4 linked regions of the Drosophila melanogaster genome follow. The protein of the gene in region 4 binds, or shares a complex with, the protein of the main gene of each other region. Each region holds a gene or a part of one and is shown on either strand. Other genes may lie near its edges. The genes, in order: PCID2, Nup160, Nup107 and Mgtor.

The links.
Region 1: Mgtor (region 4) and PCID2 share a complex: the UniProt entries of both Drosophila melanogaster proteins name them as parts of the nuclear pore complex.
Region 2: Mgtor (region 4) and Nup160 share a complex: the UniProt entries of both Drosophila melanogaster proteins name them as parts of the nuclear pore complex.
Region 3: Mgtor (region 4) and Nup107 share a complex: the UniProt entries of both Drosophila melanogaster proteins name them as parts of the nuclear pore complex.

What each region holds. Positions count from the first base shown.
Region 1 is NT_037436.4:11,623,378-11,629,153, forward strand, and holds PCID2 (PCI domain-containing protein 2), read left to right. Parts: upstream 1-3,063; 5' UTR 3,064-3,102; coding exon 3,103-4,290; 3' UTR 4,291-4,338; downstream 4,339-5,776. Other genes in the region: Akr1B (Aldo-keto reductase 1B), read right to left, coding at 737-821, 885-970; CG6083 (uncharacterized protein), read right to left, coding at 1,349-1,403, 1,474-2,175, 2,240-2,382, 2,539-2,607; Apt1 (Acyl-protein thioesterase 1), read left to right, coding at 5,077-5,124, 5,186-5,217, 5,584-5,776. UniProt on the Drosophila melanogaster protein: Required for the export of nuclear mRNAs and involved in mRNA trafficking in the cytoplasm.
Region 2 is NT_033779.5:11,122,249-11,131,778, reverse strand, and holds Nup160 (nucleoporin 160kD), read right to left. Parts: upstream 8,003-9,530; 5' UTR 7,901-8,002; coding exon 7,804-7,900; intron 7,740-7,803; coding exon 7,637-7,739; intron 7,584-7,636; coding exon 7,092-7,583; intron 7,035-7,091; coding exon 6,853-7,034; intron 6,780-6,852; coding exon 6,370-6,779; intron 6,297-6,369; coding exon 5,630-6,296; intron 5,565-5,629; coding exon 5,459-5,564; intron 5,391-5,458; coding exon 5,229-5,390; intron 5,174-5,228; coding exon 4,931-5,173; intron 4,876-4,930; coding exon 4,757-4,875; intron 4,702-4,756; coding exon 4,087-4,701; intron 4,022-4,086; coding exon 3,500-4,021; intron 3,444-3,499; coding exon 3,046-3,443; intron 2,973-3,045; coding exon 2,853-2,972; 3' UTR 2,789-2,852; downstream 1-2,788. Other genes in the region: CG4751 (uncharacterized protein), read right to left, coding at 17-104, 158-515, 576-914; RfC38 (replication factor C 38kD subunit), read left to right, coding at 1,608-1,667, 1,778-2,788; Csl4, read left to right, coding at 8,309-8,467, 8,522-8,977. UniProt on the Drosophila melanogaster protein: Functions as a component of the nuclear pore complex (NPC). Involved in poly(A)+ RNA transport. Required for nuclear import of Mad. May play a role in double strand break DNA repair. Essential for nephrocyte development.
Region 3 is NT_033779.5:10,732,793-10,740,040, forward strand, and holds Nup107 (nucleoporin 107kD), read right to left. Parts: upstream 3,280-7,248; 5' UTR 3,154-3,279; coding exon 981-3,153; intron 917-980; coding exon 552-916; 3' UTR 501-551; downstream 1-500. Other genes in the region: Dpy-30L1 (Dpy-30-like 1), read left to right, coding at 26-430; Vha16-5 (vacuolar H[+] ATPase 16kD subunit 5), read right to left, coding at 3,584-4,165; CG12299 (uncharacterized protein), read left to right, coding at 5,096-7,248. UniProt on the Drosophila melanogaster protein: Plays a role in nuclear pore complex (NPC) assembly and maintenance. Required for nuclear import of Mad. Mediates the association between the nuclear pore complex and a subset of active chromatin regions adjacent to lamin-associated domains.
Region 4 is NT_033778.4:11,849,291-11,856,179, forward strand, and holds the start of Mgtor (megator), read left to right. Parts: upstream 1-3,326; 5' UTR 3,327-3,465; coding exon 3,466-3,616; intron 3,617-4,057; coding exon 4,058-6,889. Other genes in the region: Sln (silnoon), read left to right, coding at 1-573, 675-1,127, 1,187-1,792, 1,869-1,995, 2,057-2,438. UniProt on the Drosophila melanogaster protein: Component of the nuclear pore complex (NPC), a complex required for the trafficking across the nuclear envelope. Functions as a scaffolding element in the nuclear phase of the NPC.

The sequences.
Region 1 (5,776 bases), on a different chromosome or scaffold from region 4:
TCCCCTATGTGTATTCTGGCATCAGTGCAAAAAGAGCTGGGCAAAAAACGGGAAATCGTGGGCAGCGGAAAACTACCCGATTGTGGGAAGCAGAACTCACAAACACAATTGCATTGATTTGCAAGTGGTATAATGTATAAAGTAGTGCAATCACTTGATATTCTACTTACGCCCCAGGTTCCCAGTCCAATGATTGGGACTTCCTTGCCGTTGTTGAATTTAACGTTCGGTACAGCCATTGTACTATATTTTCGCTTATTGTTTAAGGATATTTATAAATATTTATAATACAATTGGGAATCTTTTAACGATTGCCGCCTCTCAACAAACTGAGCGATTCCACTCAGCTGTTAACCGCTTATATACGCACCGCAAAAGCTTGTTCGAAATTCTAAAAAGCTTTCGGAGGACAGGGCTGCATAGTCGACAAGCCGAACAGCTGAGCGATCGTCAGTTACGCTTAAATATCGAGTGCTGATATACTCTCTATATAGCATAAAAGAAAATATATATTAAACTAAATCAATTAAAACATTTAATGATTTCAATAAATGATACTAAAATGTATCATTTTACATATGTTATGATCGCTATAAAATTTCAAAAGCCCTTCAACCATATAGGCTCTTTATGATCGCTATGTAAAAATTTTTATATCCATATCTTCGTAAAAATATGATTATTTATCAAAACTATGGCATAGATATGAAAAAACAGACATTGTCATAATATTTACATTGAAAGTTCCGAGCCCAATTACTGGAATCTCATTTCCGTCCAAGCAAACCACCTTGGGAGCTCTAGCATACTCCTTCTGACACCTACAATATTTGTGGAAATTATACTTTTGATGCTTTGTTCGATTTGATTTTCCTATATATTACCACATAAATCGCTCTGGTTTCCCATAATTCCTCAACGTAATGCGAAAAACAGGCCTAACCAATTGAATTTTCATTAGAGTGTTCATTTTGCACGCCAGTAAATTTTAATTATTTGTGTAGAGACTTCTTGACGGATGGAATGCAATGGCTACTTGGTTTTAGTATTGAAGCCTAAATGAAAAATAGCAAAATAAATGTGTATATAAAAATAAACAGCCACATTTTAAATACAGCTTAAAATGCCCACCAACTCAAAGGCTACAATTCGATTTTACACACAGCAAAACAGTTTAATTATATTATATTATTATATTGTATAACAATAATTATGCTAGACTTCTCAGTATAAAGGAAGTACCTGGACATCATCAGTATAACTCTGCAGATCGCCGCATACAATCTTACTTATCACATTAAAGGCAATCAGTTTAAATAACTACTTGTACTTCTAATATTAATTAATATTAATTATCTACTTTGGCTTTGGGTTCAAATGGATGATGAGGATGTCCATAGGCCCTAGGAGAAAAATAGAAAGATTCGAGATATTTCAAGTTAAAACCTAGGAAATGAAAAGAGCAACACCTACGCCTTCATGGTCATAAAACGCCCATTGCAGTCCAATTCGTTAATGGCCTGTATGTCATCGACGGCCAACTCAAAGTCCCAGATTCGCTTAAAGTTGTCCAACATGTGCTGTTTGCTTACTGATCTTGGGATGACAATTATACCCGATTGTGTCTGAAAGCGTAGGAGCACCTGTGCCGCAGTCCTTTCGTATTTCTCAGCTATAGCCAAGATGGTCGGATGCTGGAGCAGTGGATAAGCGCCGGGCTTCTCGTAGGGCGTATGTCCCGATCCCAGGCAGCTGTAGGCGGTCACAGCAATGGCATTGTCATAGCACAGCGTAATCAATGGCTTCTGACTAAGGTACGGGTGGCACTCGATTTGAAGAACTACCGGTTTAAGCTTGGCCACACTGAGAAGTCTATTCATCTGCTGCTCATTGAAGTTAGACACACCGATGGCCTGGCACAGACCCTCGTCCACCAGATTCTCCATTGCACGCCACGTGTCCACATAGTCGATGTCCTCGAATGCGGCCTTATTGGTGTCCGGACACGTGGGATATAGGTTGTCACTGCCCGACTTGTAGGCCATGGGCCAGTGCATCAGGTAGAGGTTTAGGTACTTGACTCCCAAGTTCCTTATGCTTGTCTCACATGCCGGGCGCACCAAATCCGGCTTGTGGTGTGTGTTCCAAAGTTTGCTCGTGATGAAGAGTTCATCTCTGCAGTGCAATATGTATTTATGGCTTAGATAAACGATTGATTAGGCCTGAAAGCAGCACTTACCGTGTGACCACTCCCTCGTCCATTTTCTCCCGGAGAGCAGCTCCCACTTGCGCCTCATTGCCATAGATATGAGCGCAGTCAAAATGGCGATAGCCTATATCAATAGCATCCTTTACTGCTTGGGTCACCACTTCCGGCGGGCTCTAAAATGGCGAATAAAACGTAAAAAGCTGAGGTGCATCAAAAGCTTTTGCTTGACCCCGAAGAGCTTTGACATTGACCGTGAAATATGCAGTGGAAATGCACATTTCAGCTGGCTATTATTTAATAACAATATATATCTATGTAAAAGTACTTACCCGCCAAGTTCCGAGACCCAACATAGGCATATTTTTACCATTGCTCAAGAGAAAATTCGGTGTCGACATGTTTGAATCCTTTTGCTCCTTGTGAAATATGTTGTTGCACTGGCTTCGTTTTTGGAAAGCTTTAATTTGTAATTTACTAAGTGAACTATACTCAAAGGCCTATTAAACTGGCTAGAAACAGCATGTCTTGTGACAGCTCTGCTATCACAACTATATGTACGAAAATTGTTTAAATTTAGAATCTTTTGGGCAAGCAAAAGACCTTCGCGGAATATAATCGATTCGCTGCAGAGGGAAATTTTAAAATTTAAAACAAAAAACTCTTTTTCTGCGTTCAGAGTTTTATTTTATAAACCGAGTATAATGTAAATAAATACCTTTTTTTAATAAAATAAAATAAAATGTTAAAAAAAAAACTTTTGAAAAAATATTCTTTGTATTATCGCGTTATAAAAAACAAAGACAATCGATAGAAGTTTCCGATGAAAACATCGCATTCGCAGATAGTGCCTGACCTACCATCTCTAATTTTGCCGCCTGCGAAAAACACAAACAATGTTCGGCACCGTAAATAACTATTTATCCGGCGTTTTGCACGCCGCCCAGGATTTAGATGGCGAGTCCTTGGCCACGTATCTCTCCTTACGAGACGTGCACGTTCAGAACCACAATTTGTACATTGCCCAGCCGGAAAAGTTGGTGGATCGATTCCTGAAACCGCCACTGGACGAAGTTGTGTCCGCCCACCTGAAGGTGCTGTATCACCTGGCACAGGAGCCTCCTGGTTACATGGAAGCCTACACCCAACAGTCGGCAGCCTGCGGAGCCGTTGTGAGGCTTTTGCAGCAGCTGAAGGACGAGAATTGGTGCCTGCCACTAATGTACCGCGTGTGCCTGGATCTAAGGTACTTGGCGCAGGCCTGCGAGAAGCATTGTCAAGGATTCACACCTGGCCACGTATTGGAGAAGGCTGCCGACTGCATAATGGCCTGTTTCCGCGTTTGTGCCGCTGATGGACGAGCTTCAGAGGAGGACACCAAGCGTCTGGGCATGATGAACCTCGTAAACCAGCTATTCAAGATTTATTTTCGAATCAACAAGTTGCATCTGTGCAAGCCCCTTATCCGTGCCATCGATAATTGCATCTTCAAGGATTCTTTTCCGCTGCCGGAGCAAATTACCTACAAGTATTTTGTAGGTAGACGGGCTATGTTCGACTCCAACTACCAGGCAGCCGTACAGTATCTGTCGTATGCCTTTAGCAACTGCCCGGATCGGTTTGCCAGCAACAAGAGGCTCATCCTCATCTATTTGGTGCCAGTGAAGATGCTGCTGGGATATCTGCCCAGCAAATCCTTACTGCAGCGCTACGATCTCCTGCTGTTTCTCGATCTGGCTATGGCCATGAAGGCTGGCAATGTGAATCGCTTTGATGAGATTGTCAGGGACCAGGAGCTGGTGCTGATCAGGAGTGGTATCTATCTGCTGGTGGAGAAGCTCAAGTTCCTCGTGTATCGCAACCTGTTCAAGAAGGTGTTCGTCATCCGGAAATCGCATCAGTTGGACATGGGTGACTTCCTCTCCGCCTTGCATTTCGTTGGCTTAACCGATGTTTCTCTGGACGAGACGCACTGCATCGTGGCCAATCTCATTTACGATGGAAAGATTAAGGGGTACATCTCACATGCTCACAACAAACTGGTCGTGTCGAAGCAAAATCCATTCCCCTCAGTGTCCCTTTAGTGCATTTTGTAATTATTGTGAATTTTTAAGAGTAAAAGAATCCAATTTAATCAGTGTATTAGTTTACTGGATGGGGCATGTGAATGGAGGGCACCAACGATGAGTATAAGACCTGAAGACTTTGAATTTAAAGTACCTTCAATTCTATTTGGTTATAATTTTGTTTGGTTTTTCGAAACCTATATGTTTCAAATCAACTTATGAACTAATAATATAATTTTTGGTTATAAATATGTTTATTTTTCAACGGTTTTAAACTAATACCACTTTTTAAACTTAATCGAACTTTGGAATTGATATATATCGATTTTTGTGCTCGAACCGATGTATCGACAGCGGAATCGGTTTCGGTCACATCTCTAGGTCCACCGACTATCACTCATCTCTGAACTTTTTGGAACGCAGCTGCATGAATTGTCGTAGTTGAGCGAATTTAAACAAATTAACACAATACTTGTGGTATTACCTGGTAAATGATTAGAGCCTCATTCGCGCAAAGTGTACATAAGACAAGTGGCGAAGATTAGATCTAGTTAGCTAGTAACCATTTCTCAGCCGGCGACGTGTTGTCATTTTCGCAATCGTAAAATCAATATTACTAATTTTGCTTTGCGTTTACAACGTGACATAACTAAAACGCAAACTACAAAGTGTTTCTTTTTCACTGCATTGCAGAAATCCGCTGACACCGAAAAAAGCGACGAAAGCAGCGCCAAGTCGCCGAATCGCAGAGTACCTGGAATAGGAATAGTGCGTCCCCAGTAGAGGCTAAACTGAACAGCAGACATGGCTGCGCCGGTCATTGTCGAGGCCACGGTCAAGCAAACCGCCACGGTGAGTAGTCCGCCGTAGTCCAAATTCCGGAAGCCCTCGACTAATCACTTGTGTATTGCAGCTGATCTTCATGCACGGCCTGGGTGATACGGGGTAAGTGGGGTCATCCTCATTCAAAATAATGCTCCCAAAGACTTCATTCACAAAATATTGAAGTATGCGAAACAGAAATATTTGCACATATGAAATTAAAAGGATTTTAACGCTTCAGTTCCTATGGGAAAAAAAAACAATTTATAAGCGCTTAGGGTGTTCTAGATTCAAGTAACTGATGAGAAGCCTTCAGAGTATTCCCCAGTTAAGCTCATTATGTATATCCCATACCATTTTAAATTCGTTCTTCCTTTTAAATTATTAGAAAACTGCAAACAAAACTTACCTAAGTAAATAGAAGTTTTTTTGAGTGAAAGAGTTATGCAAAATCCTTCTTATCTCGTTAATGAATGCCTTTTCCAACAGTCATGGCTGGAGCAGTGCCCTAGCCGCCATCCGCCCACCTTTCATGAAAGTCATCTGCCCCACGGCGCCCACACAGCCCGTTTCGCTGAACGCCGGCTTCCGCATGCCGTCGTGGTTTGACCTGAAGACGCTGGACATCGGTGGGCCCGAGGACGAGCCGGGCATCCAGTCGGCGCGTGATAGTGTGCACGGT
Region 2 (9,530 bases), on a different chromosome or scaffold from region 4:
CATTTGGTCTACTCACTGTACTACGTTGCGATTCGAAACGGTATTATGTGCGAAAACGGTTCGCTTGACGACAATCTCCGGGGTGTCAGTCTTGCGTTCAGCATCTATGGATTCGATGGAATTAGCAAGGATTATAAAGCAAGTGAGCTTTACCTACCCAGTTCACAATCATCTAGCGGCGTCTCCTTTTGCAACGCGCACTTTCGCAAATACGTGTTCTTGTAGGCGTCCAGCTTCTTTCCCTTGTACTTGACCGAGGCCCAGCCGCAGCCGCTCTTCTTGTCCGGATTGATGATCCGCTTGCAGTGCATTGCCCAGGCGCTGGGCGTGAGGAATATTGTCTCAGTCTCATGGGATTTGATCTTACCGTCGGCCAGTAGATCGCCAACGAACTTCTGGCCCAGATATTCGATAGTCATTAAGCCCAGGCCCGGCTGCAGGACATTGGCAGCCATCAGCGTTTGCAGTGTGACGGTGCGTCCGGTGCCATTGAAGCCCTCGTAGTTCTCCTTGGTCTAAAGGGTTTGAATAGAAAATATTATACATTTTCAAAAAGCTTAAGGTATCTCGCTCACCTCATCGTCGTTGTCCTCGTCGCCAGCATCGCTATCCACATCCTTGTCGCACATGTTGTCCTCCAGTATGGCTACAGGTGCTGCACCATCCGTGGGCGGTGGCCCAGGGTCCGGAGTGACGTCCACAGCTCCGGTCGTCGCTGGTGCACGCTCCCCCTCCTCCGCTTGCACCCCTTCGCCAACACAATCGTTTGTTATTTGCAGTGGCGGCGGCGGCGGCGGCTGCAGCACCTCCCCCTCCACTTCACCGTCACCATCACAGTCTCCCTCGCCATCGGAACTGCTCAGCACCTGGTTCTCGCCTGACTCGTCCACACCATGTTCCACTCCGTTCTCCATGCGTTCTTGTCGCGAATTCTGTGCAATTCTACGGATATTTTACTTCCAAGATACTTAAGTTTTGCGAAAAAAAACTGATGGATGCAGTAAGGTAGCTGCTTTTTCTACCCAGAATACCGAAACTCATTAAAACCGCCAACCCACGGTCACACTTGCTAGCGGTCCAATTTTAACCGGTAAAAACGGAGGAATGGCGTTGCCATACATAACATGAGAAGCATTGAATCGGTTATTTATTACAGAAACACAAGAAATGTTTTTGTTTTCAAATGTTTATTTATCATAAAAGAGTTCAAGTCTTTTAGGCATTTTCGTAATCATTTATTTTGAAATCCATTAATTTTACTTGTTTTATCGTTGGTTTTAGTCGTGGCACGAAAACAGTGTAAATGTAATAATATTACTTTAAAATTAATTTTAATTGTGATCTGTTAAAGTATTTAATTTTTTAAATCATTCAAGCCGAAATAATCATTTGAAAATATGTGCGTGGCAAATTTAATGAAACCTCTAAACATCGATATCACAGCGTAGAAATCGACAATAATCATCAAAAACATCGAAGCTTGCAGCATTACTAGAAATAGTCAGCGGAAAAGGCGCGCATTAAATTGTTTTGTTAAATTACTTTTACGGTCAGAAAGTAACTTAAAATACATCCAATTACTATCGTATTTTACATGCGTTAACGAAATGGCACTTTGGGTGGATAAATACCGTCCGCGGGAGCTGTCCAAATTGGACTTCCACAAGGTAAATCAGCGAGGAAACCGGCGCATACATCTATATAGCTGGCCCATATATTAAAGTATCTCTTTTTAAAAAGGTTTTTTATTTTATGATTTTTGCTAATTTCGATGCAGGATCAAGCGGAGAACCTACGCAACCTTTGCAAGCAGAGCGATTTTCCTCATCTGATGTTCTACGGACCCTCGGGTGCTGGCAAGAAGACACGCATCATGTGCCTGCTACGGGAGATGTACGGATCCGGCGTTGAGCGGTTGAGGAGCGAGACCATGACATTCACCACGCCATCCAATCGGAAGGTAGAGGTGATGACGGTCAGCAGCAACTACCACTTGGAGGTGAATCCCTCCGACGCTGGCATGTACGACCGCACGGTGGTGATCGATCTCATCAAGCAGGTGGCCCAGACGCATCAAATTGAGATTAGTGGCCAACGGGAATTCAAGGTGATTGTAATTTCGGAGGGCGACGAACTCACCAAGGATGCCCAGCACGCCCTGCGCCGTACGATGGAGAAATATGTGGCCACGTGCCGGATAATCATATCGGTGAACTCCACATCTCGGATCATTCCGGCCATACGGTCGCGTTGCCTGGGCATACGGGTGGCGGCTCCCAACGAAACGGAGATCGTGTCCATCTTGCAGAACACTTGCAAGCGGGAGGGACTCGCACTGCCCGTGGAGCTGGCCAAACGGGTTGTGGACAAGTCGGAGCGCAATCTCAGGCGAGCACTTTTGATGCTGGAGGCCGCCAAGGTGGCCAAGGCGCCGTTTACCGCCAATCAGGAGATTCCCGACCTGGACTGGCAGGTGTTCCTGCGTGAGACAGCATCTCAGATTATCAGTGAGCAAACGCCTGCCAAACTGGAGAAGATCCGCGAACGCCTGTACGAGCTACTCACGCAAGGCGTTCCACCTAATCTCATATTCCGCGGCCTGGTCGAACAGCTGGTTAACAATTGTGATATGTCCATCAAGGCAAAGACGCTCGAGTTCGCCACCGAGTACGAGCACCGGATGCAGTCCGGCGCCAAGCACATTTTTCATCTTGAAGCGTTCGTCGCTCAGTTTATGAACATCTATAAAAAGTTCCTTTCTGAGCTGGACATGACGGATGATTTTTAAACGATTTACACGCTTTAGCATTTAATTCAAAAAACTTATTAAATAAACTGATTTAAACGAACTATTAACGTTCTTCCTGAAGATCCGTTCGCATCTGCAGAACGGCCATGCTCATCTTATCATCGGTGGTGCGCTTTATGGTCTCAATATATCTTTGAACTTCTTCTTCGAGTTTAAAGTAAGCCTAAAATAGGAATAGATTTGGAATATGATTGGAATGTATTTTGAGTAGAACGAAATTTATATGTATGACTTACCATTTCATAATCAAGATCATCCTTGCCATTAATCTTTAAACCGTGCAGCAGCAAATCGATCGTGCTGATGGGGAAGCAGAGCTGTGGGTTTGCTATGTTCACCGCGTGTTTGAATTCGAAATACTCGCTACCTGCTCCCAGCATGCCGGCGATTATTTCACATCCCAGATCTGCGGCTTCCAGCAGACGATTGTGTTTCACAAGTAAGTGGAGCAGTTCCCGGGAGTGGGATAACTTGTAGGAGTTTATCAGCCACTGGGGCAAGAAGGCGTTTAACCCGAGAAGCCTTTGAACCACGCTCTTTCTTATCAAGGTGGAGTCTTTTGCCTCGTTATCCACAACCAGTTTTTGAAGTAAAGTCCAGGCCATATCGGCAGCATTACTTCGATGAGGTAGATCTGTTATAAGACATATAGTAAGCCTCTTTTTTTCATACACGTTAAAAAATCCCTACCTGCCATGTCGTTGTTTTGCAGCCAGTTCCAGGCGTCCGACGACTTGTCCTCAGTGGCAGCAACACAAGCGGATGTCAGACTCTCGAATATGGGGAGCACAGAGAACGAGTGTCCCCGCGAAAGTTTCAATGCCGCGGTGTACAGGCCGGAACTAGCCAGCAGGTATGATAGCTCCTCGGGTGTGGCCCGCTCGTAGGCAGCTGTATCTTTGCGGTAGAAGGAAAGCTCACGTAAAGCTTCTGCGTGCACCAGTTCCCTTCGGATATCAGCCAGCTCTAGAACAACCACCTCCTGGCCTCTCTTGTCCTCGTCACATTTGGGCTCACCATCGTCGTTATCCTGATCTATGGTAATCACCTGCTCATCACCAAGAACAGGCTTGGCAATCCATCTGTAGCGGCTGTCAACTAGGTGCAAACAGTTTAGGCAAATTAACAGCGAGGAGCAACGTTTCTCTAGCGCGTTTGGTGCATCGCTGTCTACTTGAAACCGCATGGCCTGCTCATACATAACCGTAGAAGCTGTTCGGAAACAAATTATTAATGCAAGAAGAAATGGAAGAAAATAAAGTAATTTTTATGCAAACCTTTTCTCATGTTACCCTTGTTCGTATGGAATGCATACAAAAAGTTGTAGACTTCGTTCTGATCGATGCTCATTGATCGTGCCCGGGATTCAACAATGCTCTCGAACTCGTCTTGCAACCCGATGTAGGAGAACTGCATAAGCAGTGGCAGACATTTATTCTGGAACAGCGTTATGACCAACTGGCGAAGGCAATCCTTACGCCTTGAAATATCTGCATTGTTGACTAAGGCGGTGTACGCCTCCACGTAGTGTCCCAACTGCAGATGATTATTGAACACTATTGACTGGAACATGGGCAACTGAGGATCATCTGGCTGCAGCACCCTAATGGCCATGTCAGCCAGTTGAATAATGTAGTCCAATGCGGAATGCTGTTCAAAGAGCTGGATAACCTTAAGATAGTAGTGAACAATTGCCAGTTTTGTGTCTTCGGGGGAAATTGTATCGCCACGGCTGACGCTATTCTGTAATTTGCCGTATAGAGGGGTATTTTTCAGTACATGCTCAAAGAGGAAGTCATCCTCCACAATGCCAGACTCCGCCTCGTGAAAGAGATGCACGGCCTTGTGGGCCTCACCGCAATCCAATAGAGATACGGCTAGCATAAAGCGTCCTGCGGAAAAAAAGGATTAATTTCAAAGCTGGGAAAACTAGCAAATAATGCATACTGGCATGTTTTTGTACGGAACACCAGTTTGACAAAATGCGCACGTAATCCTGAACAATGATGTGATGACAGGTCCCAAATAACCATTCCGGAAATACGTAAATCGGAGATCCCGGCCAACTAAGAGATGTTTGAAACTTAAAACATGATCAATTTTTCTATATATTATACGCACAGCATCTTATTGATGTATCCAACAAGTTGGAGCAAAGACTGGCGTAGATTCAATTGCTCCGAGTCCAGCGACAAACTGTCATGCTTCAGCAGCATAGTCAAGGCGCTGAACAGACCTTTCGATTCCAGGAACAGTCGGAGCAGAGTGGTCTGATCGTTCCCATTATGTTTCAGATGGCTGGAGTATGGTCGATTATAGCCGCTGAAAAGTTGGGCGCGGCTCAATCGTTGAATAGATGCCTCGCTAAAATTAAAATAGAAGTTAGAACTGTGCAATACAATCAATTATATATCCTTACAATCCAGCTGGGGTACTCGATGAAATGGGTGTCTCGGCAATCCAAACCAGTGTATAATATGAGTTCAAATAATTTAAATTTGTTAAAACATTTTCGCTTTCCATTTCGTTCTGACCATAAGCCATGTACTGCAATACCAAAAGGTTTCGGCAAACAGAAAACCTAGGGACACATGATTTAATAAATGATAAACCAAGTTCAAAGTTTTTTAAACTATTACGAAAGCTCACCGTATCATTGCCATTTGCTTCACTGTTTCGGACAAAATAGAAAGTCCATATTCGCTACCCATTAGAGCCCCAGACGACTGCAAGAAGCGCGTAGAAAGGGAGTAATCTATAAAGTAGAAATGAAATATATGAATCATTTTCAAACATTATATATATTTATAAGTAATTTACCATGCGGCGGTTCATCTGGATCAATCATACACAGCACATCGAGCAGCATTTCCAAAGCGGGTTCAAGATTTGGTATATTCTGCAGCTTCTGTTGGATTTGCCTCACACAGTTTGATGGCAATATTGGACCATTATCATCGATCATACTGATTCTAGCCACCAGCTTAGATATTACTTCAACCGGTGACTCCCGCTGGTAAAGCTGTTTATCTAGCTCGATTTTAATGTCCTCCGAAATTAGTTTATCAAGCAGTGTCACCACATTCATGAGCTCCACAAAACCCTTGGCCATTTCGGGATCGTTGCGAAATAGTGGCGCCACATATGTCGCCACTTCATCGTTATGCTCGCCGATGAGCAACAGGTGCTCGAGCACTTCGCAGGGGCGCAGCAATGCGAATGATTGCCTTCTAACCAAACATACTGCATCCATTCCACCAAGAACGGCGAGTCCTGTCGGCTCGGAAAGCTTAATGTGATACTGTTCGCAGCAGGAGTAAAAGCGATCCCACAGCCGAGTGGATATCTCCAAGTACTCCTCATCGGTGACCACAAAGTCTTTCAGTTCGTTTTGGATTTCATCTTCCACGGCCTGGCATACCTGCTCCTTGAGCACTGACATGGAAAGTTGCTTTACATCGAATTGCAGGTTAACGCGTCTGAACATCTACGATACAAAAAATTCAAATTACTAAACTATTCCAATAATTCATAATAAAGAATGTTTTGGTTATACTCACATATAAAGCCTTGGCAATTACATTTCGGTCAAATCGACCAGGATGAAATATATAGCTGCAGTAAGTTTCGCGTGGATCCACTCCCTGCTCCATGGTGAGACAATACCGATCCGGTGGCGGTTCTAGAGCAGCCGAAACCCATTTGATTGCGTTGTTGGAGGCAAAATATGCTGCCGAGACATGGAAATCGCCTTCAGCGTTGCTCCAAAGGGCCCAGATGTGCGAGGATGTGGCATCGAAGTCGACCAAATCCGTTTGCGGCGCCGGCACCATGTTCTGCACCAAATTGATAACGCTGGCATCGTCGGCATCGGGCATTATGCTAACGCATATAAACTCAGCTCGGGAATTGTGCGAGAGAAATAGACAGAAGTTTTGATCGCTTATTTTTCGGAGCTGGCTGTTTTGTGCTGTTAAAAAAAAGAATATAATCCCATTATATCTAGATCATAAATCTAAATCGTAATAATATTTTATACTCACGTCCTTGAGCTGCTGAGTCCTGTCCCAGTTCGGTGGAGCAGTTAATGCTGGCTACAGTCTGCAAGTTATCCACTGACCATAGACGCAGCTCATTATTGCGATACAGAACCAGAATGAAAATTTCCCCCCCGATTTCACTGAAAGCCATGGACGTGGCTGCCTCCAACGTTTCAGAGCGGCCGCTACAATGATTAATGAAACATTAGGGATTTGCCATTTATCGAGGTTTATCCACTTACGTGAGGGCACCCTTGAGATTCGACAGAAACCATGGCATTAGCTTCGGCTCCTTGATTTCGTGGGTGATAGTATGGCCGGTGGAGCATTTCATAACGTGAAGCAGTAGTTTGCTCTGATACGCCACCGCAAAGTAGGCTGACTGGGAGTCTTGAGTGAGGTACGATACAGCCGCGTTGGGCATAGTTCCAAAGCCATCCGTGACATAGTAAGTGCTGGGATCATTGATCTTGTCATTGACGTCGTAGAAAATGGACTGGGATAGCAGATCCTCTGGAGAAGCTGCGCCACCTTCCTGCCCAGCGACCTTCAAGGGAAACACATAGCGATGCACACTGCTGACCGTGACCACCAGCAGGGTGACGGATGTACCTTGCTCCGTGAGTGATACATTCAGCACAGCGGAGTCGGTGAATCGCAGACGCAGGTGATTCCTCTGCAGGGAGATGTCCAAACTAACCTCTGATAGTTCCAGGACATCCTGGTATGTCCGCCTGCAAATCAGTGGCCATGTGAAACTAATTTAACGATTCTGATTTGCACTTACCAATATATGAAACGGTTTCTGGTCTGAACATTTTTCGTATTCTTGTAGCAATAGCCGCCGGAGGTTTCGAAGGTTTTTAAATCCTGCAAAGTGCTCTGGGTTCCTACATTTTGCGGAGGAGCATTTGGTTACTCAGAATTTCTCTGGCAATCTTGCACGAAACTCACCCGTGTTAATTTTCACCTCGATCCACTCCGCCGGACTGAGGTTCCGCGGTATGACCTCGCGGTAGCTCATGTTGGCTTGCAGTTTGGATGTGGGCATCTTGCTAGCACAACAAATTAATATAAAAACCTCAACGAAAACGGAAAATTATTGGCGGCACCGGCGTAAACACGCTCAGTAGTAGTGTTGGAAAACGCTTACGCCAGCGGTGCACACCAGGCAAAATAGTCGACATAGCTTTTTATACTCACATACAAAAGTTAATTACAGAAGTTAGTTAAAAATTGTACATTTTCCTAAATGTAATTTCATGACAATAAAGTTTATTATAGCAAAGCAGGAATGATATAAGATGCCTTTAAATCTTGTGATATTAAGAAAGTTGTCGCTAGCATTTTAACAATTGCCACATATTGGTCACACTGCATTGCACGTGTGTTTCCATTTGTTGATGCGGCTTTATTATTTAGTTTATTTTTTAAAATAAAAACTGTCTCTGGCCTAAAAATGAGTGAACAGCAGGATGAGACTGTAGTCTGCCTGCCCGGGGAGCGACTCTGCAGAACCGAGGACAGCATAGTCCTGGGCATAGGCACCTACGAGCAGAATGGCTACATTTACGCCTCCAAGTCTGGAATTGTCAACATCGAAGATTCGGGTGATAAAGTAAGTAATCCTGGCATTTCGTTGACTCTGGGAACCAATTAATCTCCATTTCAGTGCCAGGTGGTTAGTGTGCATAAGCCCGGATTTCATCTAACCATCCCAGCCACCGGAGACGTGGTCACAGCCAGAGTTCTCGTCACAACTCCAAAATTCGCCAAGTGCGCCATTTTCTGCGTACGAAATGTGCTGCTGGAAAGCAGCTACCGCGGACTTCTGCGCAAGGAGGATGTCCGGGAGACCGAAAAAGATCGCGTCGATATCTACAAGTCCTTCCGGCCGGGCGATGTCATCCTGGCGAGGGTCATTAACCAACTGGAGCAGTCCTTCCTCCTGACCACCGCCGAAAATGAACTCGGCGTGGTCATCGCCTATGCCAGTGATTACCGGAAGACCCGGGTGCCCATGGTGCCGGTCGGCTGGAGCGAGATGCAGTGCCCCCAGACCACGATCAAGGAGCCACGGAAAGTGGCTAAAGTTCTGCCTGAGAGTTCAATAAATGCTGTGAAATAAGGTCAATCGCATGTTAATCAGAAGCTTAAATTCATTTGTGGAACTAAAAATGTTTTAGTAAGTGATTATTAGCCAAATAATTATATGTCTTGGCAACCAGAGGACGCTGAATATGGATACAGGTTTATGTTAGCATTTTATTTCCATAGCAACGTTGATAAGTAGCTATTTGACAGTTTACATTATTTCAAATCATTAAATAAATCTATAATTAAGTTGTAAAAGTTCAAAACAAGCTGGTTTCCATAGTTTAGCTTTTATGATTGATACGTATCTTATATTTGTTATTTATTCATGATTGGTTTGTTATAATGATTCAACAAGAGATTAGAATTTAATATTGGATCGTCATGCAATTGCTGTTTTTAAAAGTATCTCTATAGATTCGAAAGTCATGGGAATAGATTAAAGAAATTGTGCGGTAATTTGTTCTAGCAACTTAACAAAACATATTTTATGTTTAAAATAATTCATAAACACAAGGTAATCTAAATATATGCAGGCACATGCACTTTATAGGTTGGCAACATAAAAACTTTTAGGGTAAACGACA
Region 3 (7,248 bases), on a different chromosome or scaffold from region 4:
TGCTGAACAAAAGGAACACATTGCCATGGAGGCCAAGACCGACGCACCCATCTCACCAGCGCCCACAACAAATCCGCCGGCAGAAGCTGGCAAGGAGCCAAATGCAAGCAGCAATGCGCAAGCAAACCCGACCGCTGCGCCGGGAGCTCCTCCATCCGGAGCCATTGCCGTTGGCCAGTCCACAAATCCAGTGGCGCAGCAGCAACAGCAGCCGGCGGTGGCCAAGAAGCCCAGTAGCGAGACAAACAACATGCCCACGCGACAGTACCTCGACCAGACGGTGGCGCCGGTTCTGCTCCACGGAATGCAGGCCCTGGCTCGCGAACGGCCCACGGATCCCATACAGTTCCTGGCCTCCTACCTACTAAAGCATAGCAACGGGTGCGACGAGAACAACGCCTCCGCCGCCGCCGTGGACAACAACTCCTAAGCCCTCCATCCTACCTACCTCCCATTTGTCCCCCTCCTTAGTTGTATAATTGAACAGTGAATAAATAATAAACGTTTAAAGTTAGAATGTAATCGCAAAACACACAAATGTACTAGGATTGCTAAGTTGTTATAGGATAGCCCCATGGATCCAGTTTCGAGTTGAGCAGCTCCAGGGAGGCGTCCGCGATCTTGGCCAGAAGCTCTGCCAGCTTGTGCTTCGTATAGACTTTGTACAACTGCCGATTCTCGCTGGATATTTCATCTGCCAGGCGCACGCAACCCGCAAAGTCTCCCGACTTGAACATCACTTCGTTCAGAAACAGGGCGATCTCAGGAATGCAGATGGAGCGCAATTTCTCCATCTGCAGTAGGCGATGATCCCAGCTCAGCTGCACGGCGTTCTCGGGCAGCTTGGCGATGAACGGATCCACCAGCCAACCCTTGTCCGGGAACATGAGCACATTGTACAGGAGTTCGATGGTTTCTGCAGGGAAAGAATGCGGGTTATATGCCAAAAGATCTCATTAATGGGTATGCGATCCACTTACGCTTGGCCTGCTCCTTAACCTTGTGCTCCCAGCGCACGACTTCCGATCGGTGAGCCTGCTCCTTGCGCTCACTCGCCATGCGCTCCGTGAAGTTGTCCTGCGAGGAAGCTGCGTGTGAAGTCTGTGGCTTCTTGGGCCTGTTCTGCTGCAGGCGGTTCCATTCGACGAAACTGTCGACGCCAGACAGATACGCCTTGTAGCAGAGATACTCCTTCAGGCAGCACTCCTCACGCGGTGGTATGTTGTCCACCGAGCCGTACAAGCTGACTAGTTGCTGCACTATGTCGGCCGGCACCATGCGGAAGGTCTGGCGCATGCACTCCACCTTGCTGCTGGCCAGATAGGTGCGTATCATGGCGTTGGCCTGCCACAGCAACTCACCGCGCTGCTCCGGCAAATGGATTAGCCACTCCAATGCTGAGATCTTGCGCTGATCGATTGCAGAGATCTCGCCGGACTGCGGCTCACCGAATTCCCCGAGTGGCTGATGTGCGAGGCGAATATTCTGCACGGTGACGCGTGTGATCTGTTCCACATCCAAGCCCGCCTGCAGGGCGGCATCCACAGCTAGCTCCCGCGGACGCTTCTGCTCCACTTGCTCCAGAAACCGCGAGTAGAGCTGAACCTGCAGCGGATTCGAAAGCGATGCAGTATAGTAGGCTATTAGCTGCGGTTCGCCCCTGGCAATCAATGCCTCCACATATGCGGCTACGATCTTCTCCGCCTGTCGCTCCTGCTCCACACGGCCGATTTGACGCAGGAAGAGCACTATGTGGGCCATAAAGCGCAATTGATGGGGCGATTGTTGGGAGGTATCCTTCTCCACCCAGCGCACCATGTGTTGGATCAGCTCGCCGCAAGTATCCAGGATTAAATGACGCTGGATAATGCCCAGTTGACTTTGGGCGAAATCCCGCACCGACGCATCCTTGGCAACGTTCAGTTCCTCGAAGATCTGCTCCATCGTCATCCTGCCGTTCCAGTAATCATCGGGCATCGGTTGGTAGTTTTTGAGGCAGCAGCCGCGTATCTCCGATTCCACACGGATGTCGATCTGCACCTTCAGATGGGCCCAGAGCAAATCGTGCCAGTTGCTGTGCAAAAGGGTTTTCAGCGAGCCCAAGTGGCCGGAGAAGACACCCGCCGTCGCGCGGCTGTACTCGTCATAGTTCTTGGAATCGGCCAGCATCCACGCGCAGCGCTTCCAGATATCCCTCCTGGGATTGCCCTCGATGGGCAGCTTTTCGTGCAGCACCGAGACATTCTGCTCGAAGTTGGGATCCTCGTGGAGACGCCAGCCCTCAAGGATCGCCGCCCGCCACGTCTGTCCGAAGTGCTTGCACAACTTGAGGCCATCGTCGACGCGTCCCGCTCGTATCAATTCGAAAATGGCGCGGGACAGGCGCAGGTTGTCCTCCTCGTCGAGGGCGTGCAACGGTCGTTTCTCGCGTACGGGAGCATCTGGATCCAGACGCGTTACGATCTTATGGCCCTTGCCAAAGGCGGCGCCCTGCAGGTTCTCCAGTTGGAAGAGCGTGTTCTCCCACGCCATCATACGATCGTGGGCGTGGAGTGGGTTTTGTTGCTCCCCCCGGTCGTAGCACGCCTCCAGCCAGTCCACCACCAGCTGGTACTCACGCAGCGTCGCATTGAGGGCGTACAACTGCTGTATGACCTCCTTCTCGCTGCCGCCGAGCGTGGGGCCATCTTGCATCTCATCATCCGCCTGCCTGTCCGTCTGCAGCAGGATGCGGTCGTAGAAGAGGGCGTGCAGCAGGCGCCACGTGTTTATCTCCTGTCGCAGCCAGGTGAGCATAGACTCGCGTTGCCGCGCGCCCTGTTCCCCACCCATGCCGTGATCGATCTCCAGCTCCAGCTGCTCCACCACGCCGCGACAGACTTGCGTCAGCGATTGGATCACCTCGAATGCCTCCTGCCCGTTACCCTGAGCCTGCAGCACGTCGAAGAACTGCGGGAAGAGCACGTCCATGCGGCTCTTGCCCCGATCCAGATCATCGCCGGTGTCCTCCATCAGCGAGAGCTCATTCTGCTCCGCGTTGCTCTTCTCGAGGATGAGCAGCGAGTGGGAGAGATTTTGCGGCGGCATCGAGCTGTTCAGCGTCGTGCGTAGCAGGCCACTGCGGCTGCTCCTCGGGAACGGGCTGTCGGCCATGGCTGCACTATGCGTTTCTTGGCTATCAGCTACGGCACATCAATTCAATTAATTTAATCAAAACAGAAATTCACGCGCTATTCGCTAAAAATGCCGGGAGCGTTCAGTGTTACCAGATGACGGAACAGCAAGAAAGCTCCCTTGCACATACACTTGTAAATAAGCGATTCTCACTGAATTCAAGCAAATTTCGTAAGAAACAAATTGATTTAAATTGTTTACATATCTAGTAATTCGGCAAAGCTGCTAAAGAATAAGGTACCAGCATTCCGTAGAATCATTAGTATGGGGTACCTCCATCGCGTACCGCAACGGCGTACCTGAAATGAGTACCACAATCGCGTAAAGAAATTCAAAAGGCATTTCAAATATTAAAGATCGATAAAAACGTTTCTTAACGAATTAAATATTTTAGATATAACAAATTCTGCTACTTAATGTTGACCGTGTACAAATAAATCCCAATGATCAGGCCGTAGAGACCGAGCACCTCGGCGAAAATAAGGATCAGGATCATGCCGATAAAGAGGCGTGGCTGCAGGGCAATGTGCCGCACGCCCACTTCGCCGACTTCACCCACTGCATATCCGGCAGCCAGTCCAGCAAATCCCACCGAAAGTCCAGCGGCCAGGTGTACATAGCCGGTGGGCAGCGAGTATTTGGGAGCAGGCGCTAGTTCCCCAGATAGGAGCACGGATACCACCAGACCGTATATGGCAATGATGCCCGCCATGACCACCGGAATGATGGACTTCATCACCAGCTCGGGACGCATCACCGCTGTGGCGGCGATTCCAGTTCCGGAAACAGCAGTTCCGTAGGCCGCTCCAGCGGAGGTCAGCACACTGGAGAATACGACGCCCATCACGCCATAGAACGGGGAGTACGGCGGATAGCGATCCAGCACGATTGGCGATATACTGGTTTCCTTCAGCTTGAGACTTTCAATCAGCCCCGGCACGTCCACCGAATTTGATCCGTTATACACTGGCAGATAGTAATCCATTTCCATTTTGGTAGCCTTTTTCGTATTTACTTGAAAAGGAACGATCCACGTTGCTTGCTTTCTGGATTTTCCAACTTGTTAGTCTGACTAGCCTGTAGTTTGGCAAGAAAGAAAATCCAAGGGGAACGAGATGAGCAGTTTATATTTAATATTAATATTATTTAAGATGTTAGGGCTCAATTCAATAATTTTAGCAACTTGTTAAGTGAAATTAAACACTAATAATAAAACTTGCTTAGATTTAGGCACTCGAAATTAAATTAAATATTATTAAATGTTTAAAACCTTCGAAAGATGTAACAATCGATTGCGGTTTGAATTTGAAGCTGCGCGGTTTATCGGTCATCATGCTGGCGACGTGCACGAAACGCTTGCATGACGATATGCTGCCGTCCAATCGTGCAAGGGCCGCCCAACATAAAACATTTTTCTTTTATTTGTTGTACGCACGGCGAAGACGCTTGCAATTGCGATTTTGGCTCTGCAGAATTGCGATTGGGCGATGCGCTGCATTCGCTCGAGTCGCAGCTCCTGGCAGTCGCAGCTAACCAGACAACGGGTCGGAGGACGGTACGCGATTCCGGCGACCCACGGAACCGAGCAGCCAAATTCAAAAACAAGCGAGCACCGAAAACAGGAAGCAAGTTATTCGCATTTCGCTGGCGGCGCATAAAATGGAACGCAGTGGACGAATGTGGACGAGAGCCCTGAGAGAAACACAAAAGCACGGAACCTGAGCAACAGCACACACCAGTGATATAATAGTAGTCTACGGAACCCCTGATCCACGGCACTTCGCATCTAATCTCACCCAAGGTACGGCATTGATTTTTCTCCCCGCAAACGCGCATTTTTATTATAGAGAAAATGTTCACACGCTCGTCGCTTGTGTTCCTTGTGATTTTTGTTGTTTGATTTGCACAGCCTTTTGGCAAGATGGCCGTGCAGCTGAAACAGAGCTACCACCACCTGCCCCTGACGATCACGCCAATCCTGCAGCAGACGCACCTCCTGCCGCAACAGGCACCCAATCCACCCCAGCAGCAACCGCAGCAGCCACAGCCGCCGGATCTCACCTTCCACTGCATGTGCTGTGCGGAGTTCTTCGTCCATCCGCTGGCGCTGTACCAGCACATGAACACCCTGCACCCCCATGAGCCGGGCAATGGACAGCAAGAGCAGGAGAGCCCGGGCGACGAGAGCGAGGACTACAGCTGGATATTCGAGCCGGTGTGCGAGCTGGCGGAGGATGGCAGCGACTCGTCGGATGGGAGCGCCTCCTCGGGCTCCGACAGCTCCTCGTCGTCGGACGACGACGATGACGATGACGACGACGACAGCAGCAGCTCCAGTTCGAGTTCCAGCAACTCGAGCTCATCAAGCAGCTCGGTGCCGACCACCAGCAACTCCAATACCCAGCAGAGCCAGGAGTCAGTGCAGCCACTTCACGGCCTGGTTGCCGGTCCGGGCTACAATGAGTTCCAGCTGCAGATGACAGATCCGCGGGAGTCCACCTCCATATTCATGGTGCAGCCGACCGTAAGCGTCACGCCCTTGCAGCAGCTACTACCACCGGCACCCACTGTTAGCCCGGGATTGGGCCTGCAATCGACGCCCATCAAGCGGCGGCGCGGAAGGCGGAGCAACATCGGTGCACCCGTGATGGATCCAGCGTTGAATGGCAACCAGAAATGCTTCCAGTGCACGCACTGCGAGGCGAGCTTTCCCAACGCCGGCGATCTGTCCAAGCACGTGCGCTCGCACATCACCAACAAGCCGTTCCAGTGCTCCATCTGCCAGAAGACATTCACGCACATCGGCAGCCTGAACACGCACATCCGCATCCACAGCGGCGAGAAGCCGTACAAGTGCGAGCTCTGCCCGAAGGCCTTCACGCAGTCCAGCAGCCTGATGGTGCACATGCGCTCGCATTCGGTGCGCAAGCCGCATCAGTGTGTGCAGTGCGACAAGGGATTCATCAACTACAGCTCGCTGCTGCTGCACCAGAAGACGCACATCGCGCCCACGGAGACGTTCATCTGTCCGGAGTGCGAGCGCGAATTCAAGGCGGAGGCGCTGCTCGACGAGCACATGCGCATGCATACGCAGGAGCTGGTGTACCAGTGCGCCATCTGCCGCGAGGCCTTCCGCGCCAGCTCGGAGCTGGTACAGCACATGAAGAACCACATGGGCGAGAAGCCATTCACCTGCTCGCTGTGCGACCGCTCGTTCACGCAGTCGGGTAGCCTGAACATCCACATGCGCATCCATACCGGCGAAAAGCCGTTCCAGTGCAAGCTATGCGACAAGTGCTTCACACAGGCCTCCAGTCTGAGTGTTCACATGAAGATCCATGCGGGCGAGAAGCCCTACCCGTGTCCCATATGCGGCAAGTCGTACAGCCAGCAGGCGTACCTCAACAAGCACATCCAGGCGCACCAGATGGCTTCGGCCGCCTCCGCATCCACGTCGCCTGGCCTGCTGGTCGCCAAGCAGCCGCACGAAACACTCGTTTGCATTGTCTGCGGATCGTTGCATGCGGATGCCACTGCACTGGCCAGCCATGTGCACAGCCAGCACGCAGCGCTGCTGGACACGATGAAGCAGTCCGGAATGAACACGGCGCCGGGCGGAGCGATTCCAGACGTCAAGTGCAGTGCAGAGGAGCAGCAAGCCTATGTGGAGCGGGTTCAGTGCGTCCTGCAGCAGATGAACCATCAGCAGCAGCATCAACAGCACCAGCAACAACCTCCGCAACAACAACAGCAACATCCGCAACAACAACAGCAGCAGCATCTGCAACAACAGCCGCATCAGATGCAGCTACCGCAGCAGCCCAAGTTGCCAGCCATGGACTCCACCGGCGAGGACGAAGAAGAGCCCGACGAAGCGGAGGAACCGCCGGATGAGGAGGAGGAACAAGATGAACCAGAGGAGCCGGCGGAGGTGAAAACGGAAGTGCTGGCAGCAGAGGACGCTCTCACCAATCCGGGCTATCCCATTCTCGGGCTGCAGGAGGAACAGATCCTGCTAGACTCTGACATGTACTACGAGGACTTCGGCGACATGGACGTGGGCTGTCAGGAGGA
Region 4 (6,889 bases):
AGAACCTGCTGACCGTGTCCAGCATCACGGCGCGACCGTTGATTGCCAAATCGCATGAGCTTCGCAGCAGTCGGAAGTCGGGTTCAGGTTCCGGATCTGGTTTGAATACGGCCCGCAGCAGGTGCGTCCGCCGGGCCAAGGAGCGCGAGCGGGATCGCGTGACCGTCGCCAGGCGTAGCAAGCAAGTGGTCAAGGATCGGGACTCCTCAACGACCACAACGGAGAGCGGTGGTCCGAATGTGGAGCCACCGGACGGCGGTTACGGTTGGTTCATCGTCTTTGGGGCCTTCTCCGTGCAATTCTGGGTGGCCGGACTGGTCAAGTCGTACGGCGTGCTGTATGTGGAGATTATGGAGACATTTCCCAGCTCTACGGCCACCGTGGCCTCCTGGATTCCAGCGATCCTGTCGGCTCTATGTCTGGTCCTGGCCCCGCTGTCCAGTGCTCTTTGCCAGCGATTCTCCTGCCGAACGGTGGTCTTCGTCGGCGGCATTTTCTGCGCCATGGGCATGATACTGAGCTACTTTGCCACCAGTCTGCTGCACCTCCTCCTAACATTTGGCGTACTCACAGGTGCATAATGTATAATCAATTTAAATTTATCCTCATCACATTAGTAATTATATTTATTTAGTTATCATGATGTTTATATTTAACTATTTCTTCACGCCCAGGTATTGGAGGTGGCCTCTCGACTACTCCGGGCATAGTGATAGTGTCCCAATACTTTGACAAGCACCGTGCATTGGCCAATGGAATCTGCGTTTCGGGCACTGCCGCCGGCAGCTTCATCCTACCCGTTCTGATAAAGCACCTCGCGGAGAACTGTGGCTTCCACGGCACTATTCTGATCCTGGGCGGTTGCATGCTTCACGTGTGCGTTTCGGCCACACTTTACCGCCCAATCAGTGCTTACACGGATCAGGACTCGGGCCAGGGACAGGAGGAGACGGCAAAGCCCCTCAACGAAGACATCAATCCGAGCACCACGGGCATTCTGACTACATCCACCTACCTAGACACCTGCGATGTGGGTGCAGGCCACGAGCTGAGCGACAAGTTTATCGAGCATCTGTTCCTGGAGGAGTCCAAGAACCACCTGAACTACTATGCCAGCAAGCAGCCAGGTGGGAGTATTATTTCATCGAGGAAAACTCCAAATAATAAATCCCATTTGGTTACTTAGCCCAGGACAAGTCAGCGCAGGAGAGTGACGACGAGGTAAAGGATATTATTGGCGAGACCACTTTCATCAAGCCCATGAAGAAGGTGCGCAGTTCCGGATTGCTGCACTCCGTCGAAGATCTGAGCACGGACTCCACTTGGGTCTATCGCAAGCACTCCGGCACGGACTCCAATCGCGGAAGTCGTCGTCGGCGCAATGTCTTTGCCAACGACGAGGTGATATCCAAGATACAAGCCCACTTGGAGAAGCCTCTTTCGCCGCCGAGTGTGGTCAGTCGCGGACTCAGCAAGAGCATGGAGATACCCACTCCGGTTAGCAACCTCAGTGATCTCAAGCAGCAGCCGGTGGAGCAGGCGGAGCTCGGCATTCTAGACTCCCAGCTGGTGGAGTCCATTATCGATGGCGACGGCCACCTTGCCGCCGATGAGGATGACGATGACGACGAAGAGCGGGGACCACGCACTTGCTGCGAGCGCATCGAGATGTACCTGGACATCAGTCTGCTGCAGGACCCGAGCTTTATCCTGATGTGCCTATCCGTCACCTTGATGTCCGTCGGCTGTCCCTACATGTTGTACTATCTGCCCGCCCACGTTATTTCAATAGGTATACTATTTAAAATGTTCAAAGTATATTCTTTCGGCGTACGATTTTAAATATTATAAACTTGGTTCATCTTTAGGATACAATAAAAGTGAGGCGGGATACCTGGTGGCCATCAGCGCGGTCCTAGATTTAATTGGGCGCCTTGGACTTGGCTGGCTGTGCGACCTGCAGCTATTCGATCGCAAGAAGACCTACACCTTGTGGTGAGTACCAGATAAGGTTTATTTTTCGATCCAAACTAATCACATTTCCCTATATCGACAGCATTTTGGGCGCCGGATGTGCCGTGCTCACAATTCCCTTCGCCAAGACTCTGGTTTTGGTGGGTCTATCGGCCGCTGTCTACGGACTTTGCCTGGGTAGCTGGTATGTACTTATGCCGGTCCTCCTTGCGGACGTCTTTGGCACGGACAGGATCAGCTCGAGCTACGGGCTGGTGAGGATGTTCCAGAGCATCGGGGCCATATCGGTGCCTCCGCTGGCAGGACTGATGCGAGACCTTTCCGGAGACTACGAGATATGCTTCTACTGCATGGGATCCTGCATGGTGCTCGGGACCACTCCGCTGATTGTGTGGTCCATCCTGGAGGCCCGCAACCATCGGTTGTTTGTTCAGCGCGAGGAGGAGGAGTGCGAGGAGGCCTAGAAATGATTCGGATTCGTTGGTTGCCCCATATGTTAATAGTGTTTTAGTAGCGATCAAATACTAGTTGAGTTCCTGAGTTTCAGAGTTCGAATGCCTCACCGATATTGCTGATTCTACCAGTTACTATTACTACTATCCGTACGTTCTCATCCGTATCTTTGTATCTTAATCAATCCCCATGCCCACCCGCACCCAATCGCTTGTTATCCTTCCGTTGAGCAACAGCAAAAGGATGTGTAAGATGATGATATTCAAACGAAGAAACCAAACAACCTAAACAACCAACAACTGAGCACCAAATGTTGCGCAAAAAGAACTGAGTTTAAAAGACATGAACTACAAATACCCGTATATAACTTTATAATATGATAACTACGATCAATGCCCGACTAGATGGTTATATAGGCCGACTATAGTTGTAGGTTCGCACATCCATATCGGAAAGGACTAAACTTTGTGCAGGAAAAATTAAGTGGCTTTAGACAGAAGGGAGGCTTGAATGGAGAACATCACATTACATTACCCTAGAATTAAAATAGTTGTTGTGAGACATTTACCCATAAAGACAATTACCAAATAAACACGAAATCAAAAGGTTAATCGCGTTTTATGGAATTAAAGGGAATGATTTCGCTTGGTTTGGGTTTTGCATTCGTTTATGTTATTAAATAAAGTCCTTTCTTTTTTTATTCGTAATAAAAACGGATTTTTCAACCACGTTTAAAAAATTTTTTTTATGAATGAATTTATCTCTTTTTAAAGAAAAACATTTTGTTTTATTAGGCTGTGAATAGGCTGTTATAACGCTGTTGAAACAGTGAGAATAATATACTCGAATCGATAGTACCGAAAAATATCGATATTGTTCCATCTCCACTGCATTGACGTTCATTTTTTCGCGTCCCTAAAGCGACTTTGTGCACAATTCGCAAAAAATTAAGACTAAAGTAAAGTAAAAAGTAAGAAAGTAAACTTCGCACCGCTCCATATAAATTTAACCGCTGCTTGACAAGGATCAACTGCGAACATGGATCTCAGTGGTCCACAAACTCTGAACAACATACTTCAGCCCGACGAGTTGAAACTCGTGCCGGAAGACGTCCAGAAGAAATTGTCGGAGTACATCAACAATTTCTCAGATGAGTACTGCAAGAACCGTGCGGCCGCCAATCGGTTGGGTAAGTTTTTATATTTGTATATATACTAAAATGCGCCATATTTTGCAAATAACCCTTTATTTGCATGCGTATGCTTTTACCTCCAACTTTGCGGCGTTTACCGGCTCAGATACCGCTTCTTGTAATAAGCAATCCGCGACTGTATGGTTTCTAGCGTGGTAAACACTCTTGCGCCATTTACATATTTTTTGTATAGAAATTTAAATATAAAATTCCGGGTTGTTGCAATTAAAAACAATGGCTGCTTGCAGCAACATTATTTTCCTTATTAATTTTCACCTCACCGGTGTGGTAACACTGGCCGGACATTTTCCCACCAAAACAGTTGATTAGTCCGAGTTTGAAATCTTCAGGGAATTTCTGTGTATTCATTTTAATCCAAATACTTTGTGGTTACTTAAATCCAGTTAAGAAGATTATTTATTTTTGCCCTTTTCACAGCCGAAGCCGAGCAAAAAAAGGAAGAGCTGGAGAACAAAATGGAGGACTATCTAGTAAAATTTACCAGCTTTGAGTTAAATGTAAACGAGCTGCGCACTCATCTAGATCAGATGTCTTCGGAACGAGTTAACCTAATGGACACGATCGCCAAAGGCGAGCAAACTATATCACAGTTGCGCAAGGAAAAGGCGTCGGTAGTTGAAGAACGCGATTCGATGATGAAGGTAATCGAGCGCCAACAAGCGGAGCTGGAACGATTGAAGCAGGATCTGCACACCTACCAGCAGCAGCTGAGCAGCGCGATTGCTGCCAAGTGCGAAGCCATTGCTCGCGTGGACGAAATTCAAAGTAAGGAAGTGGCTCTGGAGCTCAAAGAGAACCGCATGGAAAGCGAACGCGATATGCTGCACAAGGAGATTTTGTTAATCAGCGGAGATCTGAACAAAAGCAACGCCGAGTTACAGAACATCCGACGGGAGCACACAATAAACACCATGCAGCTACAGTCTTGCCTTAAAGAAAAGACCGAATCGCTAAAGCTGATGCAGGAACAGTACGAACAGGCCGTCAAGACCATCGGGGAACTAACCAGCAAGATTGAAATGCAAAACGACACCGCCTTCAAGCAGAACCAGGCCACGGAAGAGTATGTGGGGAAGCTGAAAAAGGAACTTGATGCCAAAGAGAAGCTTTTTGAAATCTTTAAGAGCACCGAATCCGATCATCTGATCCAACGGGAGGAACTCCTACAGGGCATCTCCGAAATTAAACGTTTGTTAGAGGAGGCCGAAGAGCAGTGCGCCCAGTTGACGGAGCAAATGGAAACCATGAAGCAAAAGCACAGCGCTGAGTTGGACGAGCAAAATAAGAAGATTCAGGCTATGGAACAGGAGCTAGCAAGTGCCAACGATTTGCTAAAACAGGCCCGGGAAAGTAATTTGGAAAGCGCCATATGCCAGTTGGCTCCCAGTGCGGCTGTGGCTAGTCGCCTTATCCGCTCCGATCTATCGCTTACCGAACTTTACTCCATGTACGCCAAAAGCAGCGAAGAACTGGAGATGCGAAACTGCGAAATTGAGCAGTTGAAGTTGCAGCTCAAGTCGATCATTGCTGAGATTTCAGAGAGTGCACCGATTTTGGAAAAACAGAACTCCGATTACCAAAAAATGAAGGAAACTAACAGTGAGCTCCTGCGGGAGCATGATGAATTATTACAAAATAAGCTATGCCTTGAGCGGGAATTGGAAAGGGCCTTATCTACCCTTAATCACAACCAAAATGAGAATAAGAAACTAAAACAGACACACACCGATCTCAGCCGACAGGTGTGCATGTTGCTGGACGAATTGAACTGCATAAGGGCTGGAGTGAAACATGTACGTATCCAACCAACTCGTCAGCTACCCACCAGCGAAAGTTTGATCAGCGATAACTTGGTAACCTTTAGTTCTATTGAAGAGTTGGTGGATAGAAATACATACCTCCTGAATATGTCCCGCGAGCTCACAGAACTTTTGGAGGCTAGCGAAAAGAACCAAGATAAGATGTTGCTGGAGCAGTCTAAGAATCACATAAGAAAACTGGATGCGCGTTTTGCCGAATTGGAGGATTTATTAACGCAAAAGAACAATACGGTTACTACACTACTATCCAAGTGCGACCGCTACAAGAAGTTATATTTCGCGGCTCAGAAGAAGCTCGGTCAAAATACTGTGGATCTGGACGACTCCAATCTGGAGCCTAACGACTCTGCACTGGATACTTCAGAGCAGCCGGCAGCCAATTTTGAGGAGAGCAGGAAACTGGAAAAGAGGGTGCGACAGCTGGAGCAACAGTTGGAAGGGGAGGTCAAGAAGTATGCCTCACTGAAAGAGAACTACGACTATTACACTAGCGAAAAGCGTAAAAACGATGCACTGGCCCAAGAACAGTTCGATTCTATGCGTAAGGAGGTGCGGGAGCTAACCAGCAGTAACTGCAAGCTTATGAACACCACCGAATTCCAGAAAGAGCAAATCGAACTACTTCACAAAAATATAGGCACCTACAAGCAGCAGGTGACTACATTGGAAGAGCGTACCAAGAACTATGAAAAGACCATTATTAAACACGAGCAAACCGTACATTTGCTCAAGGACGAAATGATGGCGGCACACCGCAAGCACGCAGCAGCCGATGCAGAGGCTCAAAGCCTTCGCCAAGAGAACCGCATTCTAAGGGACACATCTTCTAGACTGCAGATCGAAAAGGAGACTTATCACCGCGAGCAGCAGAGCCAATCACTGCTTCTAAACAGTTTGGAATTCATAAAGACCAACCTTGAGCGATCTGAGATGGAGGGTCGCCAGCGTTTAGAGCAGCGTTTAGATGACACTGTACGGGAACTGGCTGCTCAGCGTCGTCACTTCCAGGAGGAGGAGGAGAAGTTCCGTGAATCAATTAACGAGTTTAAGCGACAGGCGGAGACGGCCATCAAGTTGAAAGATGAAGAAAAGCAGCTGGCAGACAAGTGGCAAGCGGAGCTTACCAGCGTTCGCGAAGAACTTGCTGAGAAGGTCAACAAGGTCAATGAATTAAGCAAAAAACTTCAGGAAGTTCTGACGCCCACTCTAAATGACAACCCCATCACTGCAGCTAATAAACGAGCACGAGAGTTCGAACTTAAGCTGGACCAGGCCACGGTGGAGATTGAGTCACTCACTAAAGAGTTGGCAAAGACTCGTGAGCATGGCGAGCAGTTCTACAAGATGTCTCAAAGTGCCGAAAGTGAGATCAAGCGTCTGCACGAGCTTCACGGCGAGTTGGTGGCCAAGCAGGAGGAGGAAATCAAGA